2 linked regions of the Drosophila melanogaster genome follow. The protein of the gene in region 2 interacts with the protein of the main gene of each other region in a pairwise test. Each region holds a gene or a part of one and is shown on either strand. Other genes may lie near its edges.

Region 1 (3,801 bases), on a different chromosome or scaffold from region 2:
GAGTTCCGATTGCCCAACAATGCTTCATGTTTGCTTCAGAAAACTGAGTGAACGAACGGCTGGCAGTGGGTATCATTATATTTCTTTGCTGAGCAGCTTAAAAGCTTATCAGCCGACAAAGATGTATTCGAAGTACATATGTACATGTACATATGTACATGCATATGCACATAAATTGTGTTATTCCCAAAGATTGCACAGAAAACGCTTAAGTTAAGAGATTGCGAAAGAGATATTTCCGAATTCTTTGGAAATATCCATTAAAGTTTTCAAAAAAAATGTTCAGATTAATTAAACTGGTAACGATCATTCCCAGGACTATACATATATATCTCACAGGATTTGATACGCTTAATTCTAGCTGTTACATACCTTTTAACTAATCGAGTTATGTATCTACCCTTTACCTTTTCGAGTAACGTGACCTGTATAACACGTAATAAAGTTTCAATATAAAAAAAATTTTTTTTTTATGTACGCATATATAAAAAAAAAACATAAAGAGGAAAGAACTACAAATATGCGTACAAAAGAATTATCATCTGAAATATGTACACATTTATATACATAACACTGACCTTAGGATGCATGGATTATCGCCGAGTGAAATGCCTATTTTTTTTCCAATTTGGGATTTTCCTAGCCACTGTCGATTTGTACTATTTTTCCTATTTTTTTGTAAATATTTAAAGCTATATAAATGCAACGCTATATATTCAGCTGAATATTATGGACATCGATTTAAAAATCTTTGCTAATATCGTCTCAAAAACCTTTTTTAATGAAAAAATTTTTAAATTTGATTTTGATTAAAAATTCATTTATTTTGTATATTTATACAATAATGCATAATCACAATCTTAATGAAGAATTGATGTAATAATCTTTAAGCGTTAGCCAAAGTATGCTATCCTATTATAAATCCAACTTCTGAACATTGCCACATTGGTGTAGATTCCCGGGAGGTCCAATCCACACCCCATGCCCCAGGCGACGATCCCAGCCTGCTCGAAGACGTGTGGATTCTCATCTCCGAGGGAGCAGAACAATGCATAACCTCCACCGCCAAAGCAGAAATCCCGGTTTATTTCACTTCGGGCGCAAATCAGACTCGGATGAAGATCAAAATTCCTGCCCAAAGTTGTATTTCTAAACTGAGCCACGCATGTCGTTCTGTCCAACACGGTTAACTCTAATTTCTTTATAATTCTCATACGGCTTTGATCATGGGAACTCACCAAGTCCCAACCGGCAACCGTACAGCGACGTCCCTCGAACGACGCTTGTCGGCTTGGCAACGTCAATACTCCAATGCGATCGTTTAGCACGAACGGTGTTTTTACGAAAATAAGAGCCACATTATTAATACCCGACTGAAAAATGAATCCTTCATGTCTCACAATCCTTTCAACAACGCGCTCCTCATACTGAATGGGTTCATTTGTTGTGTTCATGACAAACTCGCCGGCCCTAACCACAATTCTATCTTCATTCATTTTGTTCATTGTGTTGTGGGCTGCCGTTAGGATCACTTTTGGACTAATTAGTGAGCCGCCGGTCAAGTAAACTTCTTCGTAAAATAGGGCTACCACCCAGGAATATAGACCAGTCGTATTGCACCTGCCTCCTGGCTGTGTCCGTTCAGTTGGCTTTGGTTGCTCAGCTTGCGCACCATCATTTGTTGGGGCGCCCGATCCTTTAAGTGGCCAATAAGTAATGGGTACATCAGGTTCCGTAGAAACATTGTTTTGGGGCTCACTTGAGACTGTTGGTCTCGTTGGAAAATAGATAAAGGTTGGTATGTTTTCCTCTTCTGTAGAAGATGACTGAAAAGTTGAAAATTTAATATTAAACAGATTCAATTGCAATTTAAAATAATAAGCATACTGCAGACTCAGAATCGGATTCCTCATTCGGTCCGCTAGGGATATAAGGACTCTGCAAATTATGAAATATTAATTCCAAATCTGCGTACAGGGATTCTAATCAAAATATATACACCTTTATGATAATGTCACAACAGACGTGATTAAATGGGCAACTATTTAGTTTTCGACTTAGTATTAAGCACTTCTCCATAGGGACACAATACCTACAGGCTTCGCCCGAAAGGACGCAGAATAAAAGAATAGCTGCTGTGGCCACGATCGATCCCATGTTTGCTCGGGATGATTAAATTGACTGAGAGATAGAGCAAGCTTTCCGATGCTTTAGTACACTTTATATTATATTAAGTCTTATCAGTTACAAAAAAAAAAAAAAACAATATGTGAAAAGGAATTTCTGTAAACATTTTTCGAAATTTTTTCATAATTTTATAAGTCTTGTAAATTTTTATCGATTTGCAAAAAAAAAGCTTTTTGCCACGCCCAATCTAACGAGATTTCGCCGCCGAAATCTAAATTTTTTCTCATTTTATTCCCAGAATAATGATGAACTTTCGCATTCGCATTCACATTAGCTGAGTAACGGGTATCTGATACTCGGGGAACTCGACTGTAGCATTCTCTCTTGTTATATTTTTATCGTTTTGTTTAAATTATATGCTATAATTATATGCTTATATGCTATAGGCTAATCTAATTCTTATTCACTTTCCTACTTAAGGCACACTGGAGAATTGGAACAATTGCGTGAGAGTGCTCAACAAATGTCGAACGAAATCACAGAGTTGCGCCAGGAGATCAACCGAAATCGCAACGGTGTCTTCGGTGATTCCTGCTGTCGCCTCGGACTCGGACGCCTCCACGACCATGTGATTGCGCCCTTTCAAGGCAACCATATCTGGATAAAACTTCGACGCTATTCCTTTAACGTGATATATTTGTTTGCTTTGTATCTGCTGCCTGGAATGTCTCTCAAATATCGTCAAAACTAAACCTAATTAAATAAACTTTCTATAAAAATATTTTCAAACAGTTACCAAATTAATGTAATCCCCAATAATCCCCCAATAATTCCCCTATTATGGGGGAAGAGTCACAGTGCTGTTTGCGTTGGAATCGTTTGTGGTTTTCTGAAACCTATGTTAACATGCAAATGACTATTGTTAACTTGCTTAACTTTTTTTTTTTTAGTGTAATGATAAGGTAAGCCTATGGTGGGTGTTTGTAGAGCTTGACACAGAACTTTAAAACATATTTTAGTCATTGCAACTGGGTCTTTAAGGTTCTACTTAAAGGAAATCAGCTAGAAATTTACAAATTATAAATTAAGAACTTTAAAAGTAATAGAGAGATAACTTTTCCCTAACAAATGCGTAAATAATTAAATAATATATAAATAATAAATAACAAACAGAAATTGAATACGCTATCAATGCCTTTTTTATAGGCTTATTAAACTTTGGCTTTAGCAATTTTTGGAACGTCAATTAATATTGATAAGCTAAACAAAAAAATGTATAAGGTCGTTTCTGGGTATTGGTATTGGGTAGGCTAACACTAGAATATTAGAATACTAATATATTTTATACTCTTATTGTTAAATAAAATAGTTGGTGGCCTAAAAGAACACCTACTATACATATACATAAGATATATTAAGACGTCACTTTGAACGGCAGTCCACGTAGTAACGAAGCGCACCAGGAGTGTACGAAGGCTTTGATGGTAAAATCATAGTGATACACGAATCGAAAGATTGTTTTTTTTTTTACCTTTTTAAGAAGAGTTTTTGTTTCATTTTATATATAACGCAGATTCCAAAAAATAACATTAAGAAAACAATCTAAGCTCATATTTGCTAGTTTGTTTATTTTCACATATTTTGCAATGAGTATTTTGTATAATTTATATATAT
Region 2 (6,601 bases):
CACGGTGCAGTACACAGAGCGACTATCCCATTGGCCATACTGGCTGAATACGGCTACGGCCAAGTACGTGGTCACCAAGTCATTACCCGGAGTATCGCCCGTGGCCTATGCCATTAAGTCCACGCATCAGACTTGCTTCTTTGCCGGATTCTATTGCCGTAAGATAAGACGGAAGTGATATGAATGCCCTCGCTAATCGTAAATGAATCTCTATTGCAGTACAATCACTGAGTGAATTCACGTTCAGAAACTCCAATGGTGATACCTTTGCCCAGGAGAACATCCAGTATCAGTGTCCACCACTCTTGGGCGGCATGTGTAGGCGGGAACTGGAGTTCCAGCGCCAGGCGGTGATGCACAACTTAACGATAATATTCGGAAAACAGAGAGGATAGCATACCAGGATCTAGTTCAAATTTAAATCATATGTGCAAACAACTAATTGACTTACCTACCAATAATCTTAATTCCTAATAAAAAAAAAACACACACAATACTTTGTTTTTAAATGTAAACCCTGTGTTTATTTAACGATGATACAAAATTACACGGTACTTGCTTCTAAAAACGATATCTTTCGTTACTTTAAAATTGTTGAATACACTTTGAATGCGTATTGAAATAATTTAAAAAAAAAAAAACACGTCTAAATCAGGTGGCACATTTTGGAAAATGAATTGAGAAACTAGATAAACTTGTGAACTAATAATTTACCAATTATATCTACTTACAAGATACGCATACAATATTATGCAGTGTCTTTTCAATTTTATGGTAACCTTACTCTTCAAAATGCGCACACAAAGTATAATTTTAACTAAATTAGCTAGACGGTCCTGTGCAATTTGATTTTACAACCTCATATTTGGATGCTGTTAACTTTTGATTTCGTACTATATGTTATATATTCCTTCATTCATTATATATTCAATAATTGGATTTGATTTGATTTGGTTTTTGTCATTTTCATTGATTGCTGTTCATCACTTGAACAGTTCCAATCGCTTTCTTTTGGTCGGTCCTGATGCTCCACCACTTCTCGCCGATCGCGTTTGACAAGCTGCTGCACTTGTGGATGAATTCACCGGCGTACTTGGTGCACTAACCGATTCCACGGAGCTGGTCTGTGAGGCTCCACCGCCGAAGACGGAGCCAAACCAGCGTGTTAGTTTCGTGGCCTGAGTGGATTTAGCACCCTGTTTGGGAGATTTGGGTGACTTGCGCAGCGATGCAAGAATGGAATTGCGATTACCATTCGAAGGTTGCGTTCGCTCCTGCGTAATTCCAGAACCTATCAAATAATTGGTGATTTTATTGGCCTGCGACGGCCTGACGGACTGTTGATCCGGTTGCACGGGCGATACTTCGCCAGAGGAGTTCAATCGCATGCGACTGCCAAATTGGCCATTGTTCGTTATCTCAAAGAAGTCATCTTCCAGCAGGGTTCTTCTTCTCTGCGTAATGGTAGACTCTGCATCATCCTTCTGGGTCAGTGGCAAGGTTGGCAAGACTTTGGGACTAGTTTTAGCCGACTGCTGTTGTCGTGGCTCGAACATTTGCTCCAGGATATCCAAACACGAGCGATCTCGCTTCTTTTTTGGCACCGATATATTTACTTTCGCTAGCTGCTGCTGAAACTGCTTCACCTCAGAGCCAAAGATCTTAAAGCCTTCGAAGGGCGATGAGGGTCTTGGTTGCGCCAGCGGAATCTGCGAGTGTTCCGAGGATATGCTAAATAGATCTGGAGATTTGTTGGCACTCCTCTTGGCCGGTGGTAGACCCAATCCGCCGCCGAAACTTGAATTGACGGACGTCACGGGTTTGCGTTTTCTTTTCAAAGCCTTGGTGCGACGACTCTGCGATGGATCCTGCGGAGAACACTCATCGTGCGAGCTATTGATCACCACTGTCTCAACTGGATCTTTGTAAAGCGGAATAGACACCACCTCAGAATCGTTGAGCAAATTGTGTGTAGACGGCAAGGTTAGAAGCATTGGAGTTTGTTGAGGTGTAAAGGGCACACGAAAAGCGGGCGACTCAATGGCATCCAAATTGTCTGGTATTCGCTGAGCACATTGCATGTACTCCGAGGACAACGAGCTACCACTGAGAACTTGAGGAGTAGGTGGCAAGTGCTTTGAATTCGGCTTAGTCTTTGTCTTCCCCAAATCTTCAGTCTTGGTTTGGCATTTTCTCGGACGTCCAGGCTTTCGTTTCGCAGTTCCTTGAGCAGGTACATCCACCGTCTTCTGTTTCTTTTCCTGCCCGACTTTAGACTTAGGCTCCTGCTTCACTATTTGTTTGCTACTTCTGGGCGTTTGGTTACCCTCCAACTTGACTCTCCTTGGAAAGCTACGCTTGACATCATCCAATGAGCGATGTTTCAAGTACTTACTGTTTATTTTTGTTTCAGCGGATCGTGTTAGGCGCTGCATTCCCCTTGTGGCTGGACGACCCACATCCACTGGGCTCACCGTGCGCTTTTTCAGATTTTTTCTTCTAGCTGTGGGCTCCGTTTTGGGCGTTACGATCGCAGTAGTGGTTCTGGACGGTGGTGGTGTGCTCAGAGTATCGAGGGAAACCCTTAAAATTCGAACATTGAGTCTCCTTGTCTTAGGTGTCAGATGAACGGTGGCTGCACGAGTTCTCTTCCTTGGCGGCATATTATCGGTCGCTTCATCATCCTCTTCGGAATCGGTGAGATCAGCTTTTTTGCGCGGTGACGTTTTTTTGCTAAATTTTTTCTTTGATTTCGTCCTTGGTGATTCATTTAATGAGGGCGTTCGATTTTGCGGAGTACTTGGAGGTGTTACAATCTCACAATCATCGCTGGATACAACTAATACCGGGTTTTGATCTGCATCAGGTTCTACTGTTAGGGGTTCATCGTCAGACTCGGAATACTCGAATATCAGCGGTGACATTGCCACATCATCCACGCTGTGCTCGGATAACCTATCCGTTTCTTCAAAGAGCCCAGTTTTATTTTGCTGAGCCGGATTGTTGTCTATGGAAGCGATTGTAGAGCACACATCTGAGCCGCTTATTGTGCTCTGGCTGTTCTTTGAGGCCAACCAGAGATTCAGATTGTGTTTGTATTGCTCCGGTGCGACAAGTGGCAGTGACTTGTCGAATTGATGACGAAAACGACGCAGACGAAAGTCCCTACAAATTATATAAGTTATTTTCATATGCAACTGACTATTCCGGTCTTATGCAACAGTGAAACTGATCGTTGCTGGTTCACCTACTTGATGTACTCGCTGAGGAATCCCCGCTGCTTGTAGTATTCCTCGAGATCTATGCGCTTACTGAATACCTCCTTCGGATCTGGCAGATGGAATTTTCGATCGAAGCTCGCAAAGCTTTTGTACTGATGCTCCAGTCGGCCGCCCAACCGTAGAACATTGTAGAGCAACCTAACGTCGGACTGCAGAGAGAGAGAAACCACATAAGCTAAAATGATATAAACCATATTATGAATGCATTGCCTCACCGTAACGTCAACACTGGAGATAAGAACGTTTACCCGTCCCTCGAATTGCTTCAGCAGCATGGAAGTGCAAAAGCTGTTGTTCAGCGAATGCCCCCGATTATCCACCATAATGTAGTCGAACTTGAGGCGACTGAGATCTCCAATGCTCCGTAGTTGGCTCCATTTCGCCAGGTAAACGCTGTGCGGGGAGTCGGTGGTATCTGTAAAGGCAGAAAGTGAAGGTGTTGAAGTTTAATTTTTAAATGGCAATAATGTGAAATTACGATAACATTCTTATCAACAAATCCATTTAAATATTAGGCATTACCTTGCACCCCCTGAATGATGTACACCTGGAGGTCAGTGAGAGTGTCCAAATGGAATCGCCAACCGGTGAGCAGTTGCTCATCGTTCTGGAGCACCACAAGTGTTTTTTTGGCGGGTGGTAGGGCACTTAGAAGTGCCGCCACCGTAGCGACCTTTCCAAGGCCACTCTCATCATTCAGGATGCAGAATTCCCGCTTAGCCAAACGATCGTAGACGAAGCGGACGGCATCCAGTTGAAAGCTCTTGAGGTACTGCGTCACGTGGCTCGTGACCAGTGCCTCATCTGTGAGCCGCACCTCCGGCGTTTGCTCGGATACAAAGTGATACATGATCCTTCAGAGAATTCGAATCAATGGTGTGCGTGATGCAGGGCCAGATAGATGGCAACCAGGATGTAGAATAGTTGCAGGTACGAGAAGATCACGAACATCGAAAATGAACCAATTATCATCTTTCGCGCCGCAGACGGCCCATCGAATTCGATATTCTCCGGATGCAGTATGTCCACCACGTTGTAGTTGTTGTTGATGATAACAGGATGTTGGATCTCGTACATGTGTTGAAACTAGTTAAGCTTCAATTTTTTCGGAGGACAATTTTCGTCCCTTTTGGGAAATTGGGTTAAGCGCTGTTAGTCATGGCGGGGGCGCGGGAAAAGGCTTAACAATCGAACAAGAAGAAAATATTATTTTTGGCTCCAATTCTATTTCACCATTCACACAGAACCGGCTGCGTCTTGTTGGCGCGATCAGCTGTTGGACGTTGGTAGTGTTGGCAAACGAAGCAATGTCTAGAAATAGCCAAAAGAGATACTGCTCTTGATTAATAGCAAAATATTAAAAAAAACTTACTGAACCGACAAGGATTAGTAAAATACATTAGGTTGGAAACCTTTGGCGAGTAAAATGTTTTTAAATTAAATTATTTATTCTGCCAACTCAAAACTTGTGTAAGGAATTCATTTTTATAGCTGCATTTAGCTCATCACTGTTGCAACTGTTGTGATTTCGTTTGCGGTTTGTTTCGCATGGAATTTGTTTAAATTTATTCAGACCAAATTGCCATGGCTGTTGCAAAGAAGGAAAAATTTGAGGCAAAAAAGAAAAGCCCTGAAAAGGGAAAACAGCAGAAAGCCAAAGTTGTTCCTGTCACACCGCCACCAAATGTAAAACAACGAACTGTGGTCACTCCTTGGCGAGACACGTGCGTAGACAAAAAGTGGAAACAAATCCAATCCGTTGATAAAAACATTACATTTTCAGGCTGGAATTTAATACAACGTACAAATGGTTGTTTGGCAAGTCCAACACACCAGCCACATGGCGTCAAGCGCTCAGTAAAATCCGCATTTGGTGTCTGCGAAGAGGAAGTCTCTGCCCGGCAGCGGTTTTGGCCACATCGGTGCTTGTTCAGGCGCACTTGGAGGACCAGGAGGGCAGCGCCAAAATACAGGACACCTATGCCAGTGCCTTTACACGATTCTACAACTTTATGTCCTCCATTATCCAGGGACACAACATGTCCAGCATGTATGAAACGGCCAAGGAACTGGGCCTCCAGTCGTTCATCGTTGATCTGCGCCACTTGTGCGCCCATGGACAGGAGCTGCCGCCTGTGGAGGTGCTGAGAAACACCTCGAATCATTGTCTGGAGTGGCTGCGCACCTACTACTGGTTGCCACACATGGAAACCATGTCCAATTTGGATGCTGGCAAACTGCATCGCAAGGACAAGCTTAAGTTTGAAAAGGCTGTGACAGATCTTCTGGAGATCTACGATCTAACCCTGGAGTGCCATATCAAGGGGGCTGAGAAACTAAAGGCCATTAGCAAGCTAAAATCCAGTGGTGAATTCAATAAGATACGAGTCTACTCCTCCAGCAAGAAGGCGAAGACATCGAAAGAAATTCTGAGTGCTGTGTTAGGTGATCTAAGTGCGTTGGTCAAAAAGGAGTCATCATCGATGAAGGATCTGCTGGACATATATACAAAATGCCTGCTTAAAATGAAATACTTCCTTGGCGTTGGCTTGGAAATCGACGACAACGAGGATGTCATCATTGCAGCCACACAGGGACTCTTCCGTCTATTGGCCGTGCAGGGATATATCGAGAAGGTTTTTTTGGCCCTAGTTCAACTGAGTGAAAACCAAAACGAGTCGGAGCAAAGGCGTCTGGGAGCCAGCTACTGGGCAAAGAAAATGTTGGAAACATTTGGGATGCTGTTCCGTATGAAGCGCATGTACAAAGCCGAACTGGATTTGGTTAGTATAAATACGGAGTGTGTTAACGATGAAAACACTAAAATATTCTTTATTTTCCAGAACGATAAACTAAAACCAGCGGACTTTGCCACCCTAAACACGGATAAAATTTCTAAGACAATGCGCAGTCTGTTAGTACACTCAAATGCCGATCTCTCGGTTACCCTTATTTTTGGCGACAATCCCAAAAAGTCCAGGTCTTTGATTTTTGATCGTGATTTTATTATGCAGCGTGTTGATGCATTTAGCAATTACTCAGCGCCCATTCTAAAAGGGTAGGTATACATTTTTTTTTGGGTTTACTTGCTTTTGGATTAATAAGATTGACATTTTCTTAGATTATTACCGCTCGCAGATCCTCCATACACCAAGACGCAAATTGAGGATTTAACTAAACTCTGCGATGCACAGCTTGAAGAATTTTATGAAGAGGAAGCTATGGAAGAAGATAGCTCTTCAGAGGAGAGCAACAATCTAGACCGTTTGGAACGATTTTTGGAACAAGCAGCTCAAAGCAAAGAGCATACATCAGACTGG

The links.
Region 1: the proteins of SuUR (region 2) and CG18563 interact in a two-hybrid assay, tested with the Drosophila melanogaster proteins (one large-scale study listed by BioGRID).

The regions. Positions count from the first base shown.
Region 1 is NT_033779.5:17,455,869-17,459,669, forward strand, and holds CG18563 (uncharacterized protein), read right to left. Parts: upstream 2,177-3,801; 5' UTR 2,158-2,176; coding exon 2,002-2,157; intron 1,939-2,001; coding exon 1,888-1,938; intron 1,827-1,887; coding exon 894-1,826; 3' UTR 802-893; downstream 1-801. Other genes in the region: CG5050 (uncharacterized protein), read left to right, coding at 2,608-2,878; SPH93 (serine protease homolog 93), read right to left, coding at 1-28.
Region 2 is NT_037436.4:11,062,925-11,069,525, reverse strand, and holds SuUR (suppressor of Under-Replication), read right to left. Parts: upstream 4,536-6,601; 5' UTR 4,359-4,535; coding exon of another isoform or gene 4,152-4,358; 5' UTR 4,132-4,151; coding exon 3,804-4,131; intron 3,697-3,803; coding exon 3,497-3,696; intron 3,431-3,496; coding exon 3,252-3,430; intron 3,166-3,251; coding exon 984-3,165; 3' UTR 501-983; downstream 1-500. Other genes in the region: CG6310 (uncharacterized protein), read left to right, coding at 1-158, 220-395; CG45101 (uncharacterized protein), read right to left, coding at 4,152-4,358; CG32075 (uncharacterized protein), read left to right, coding at 4,866-5,005, 5,065-6,064, 6,125-6,339, 6,403-6,601.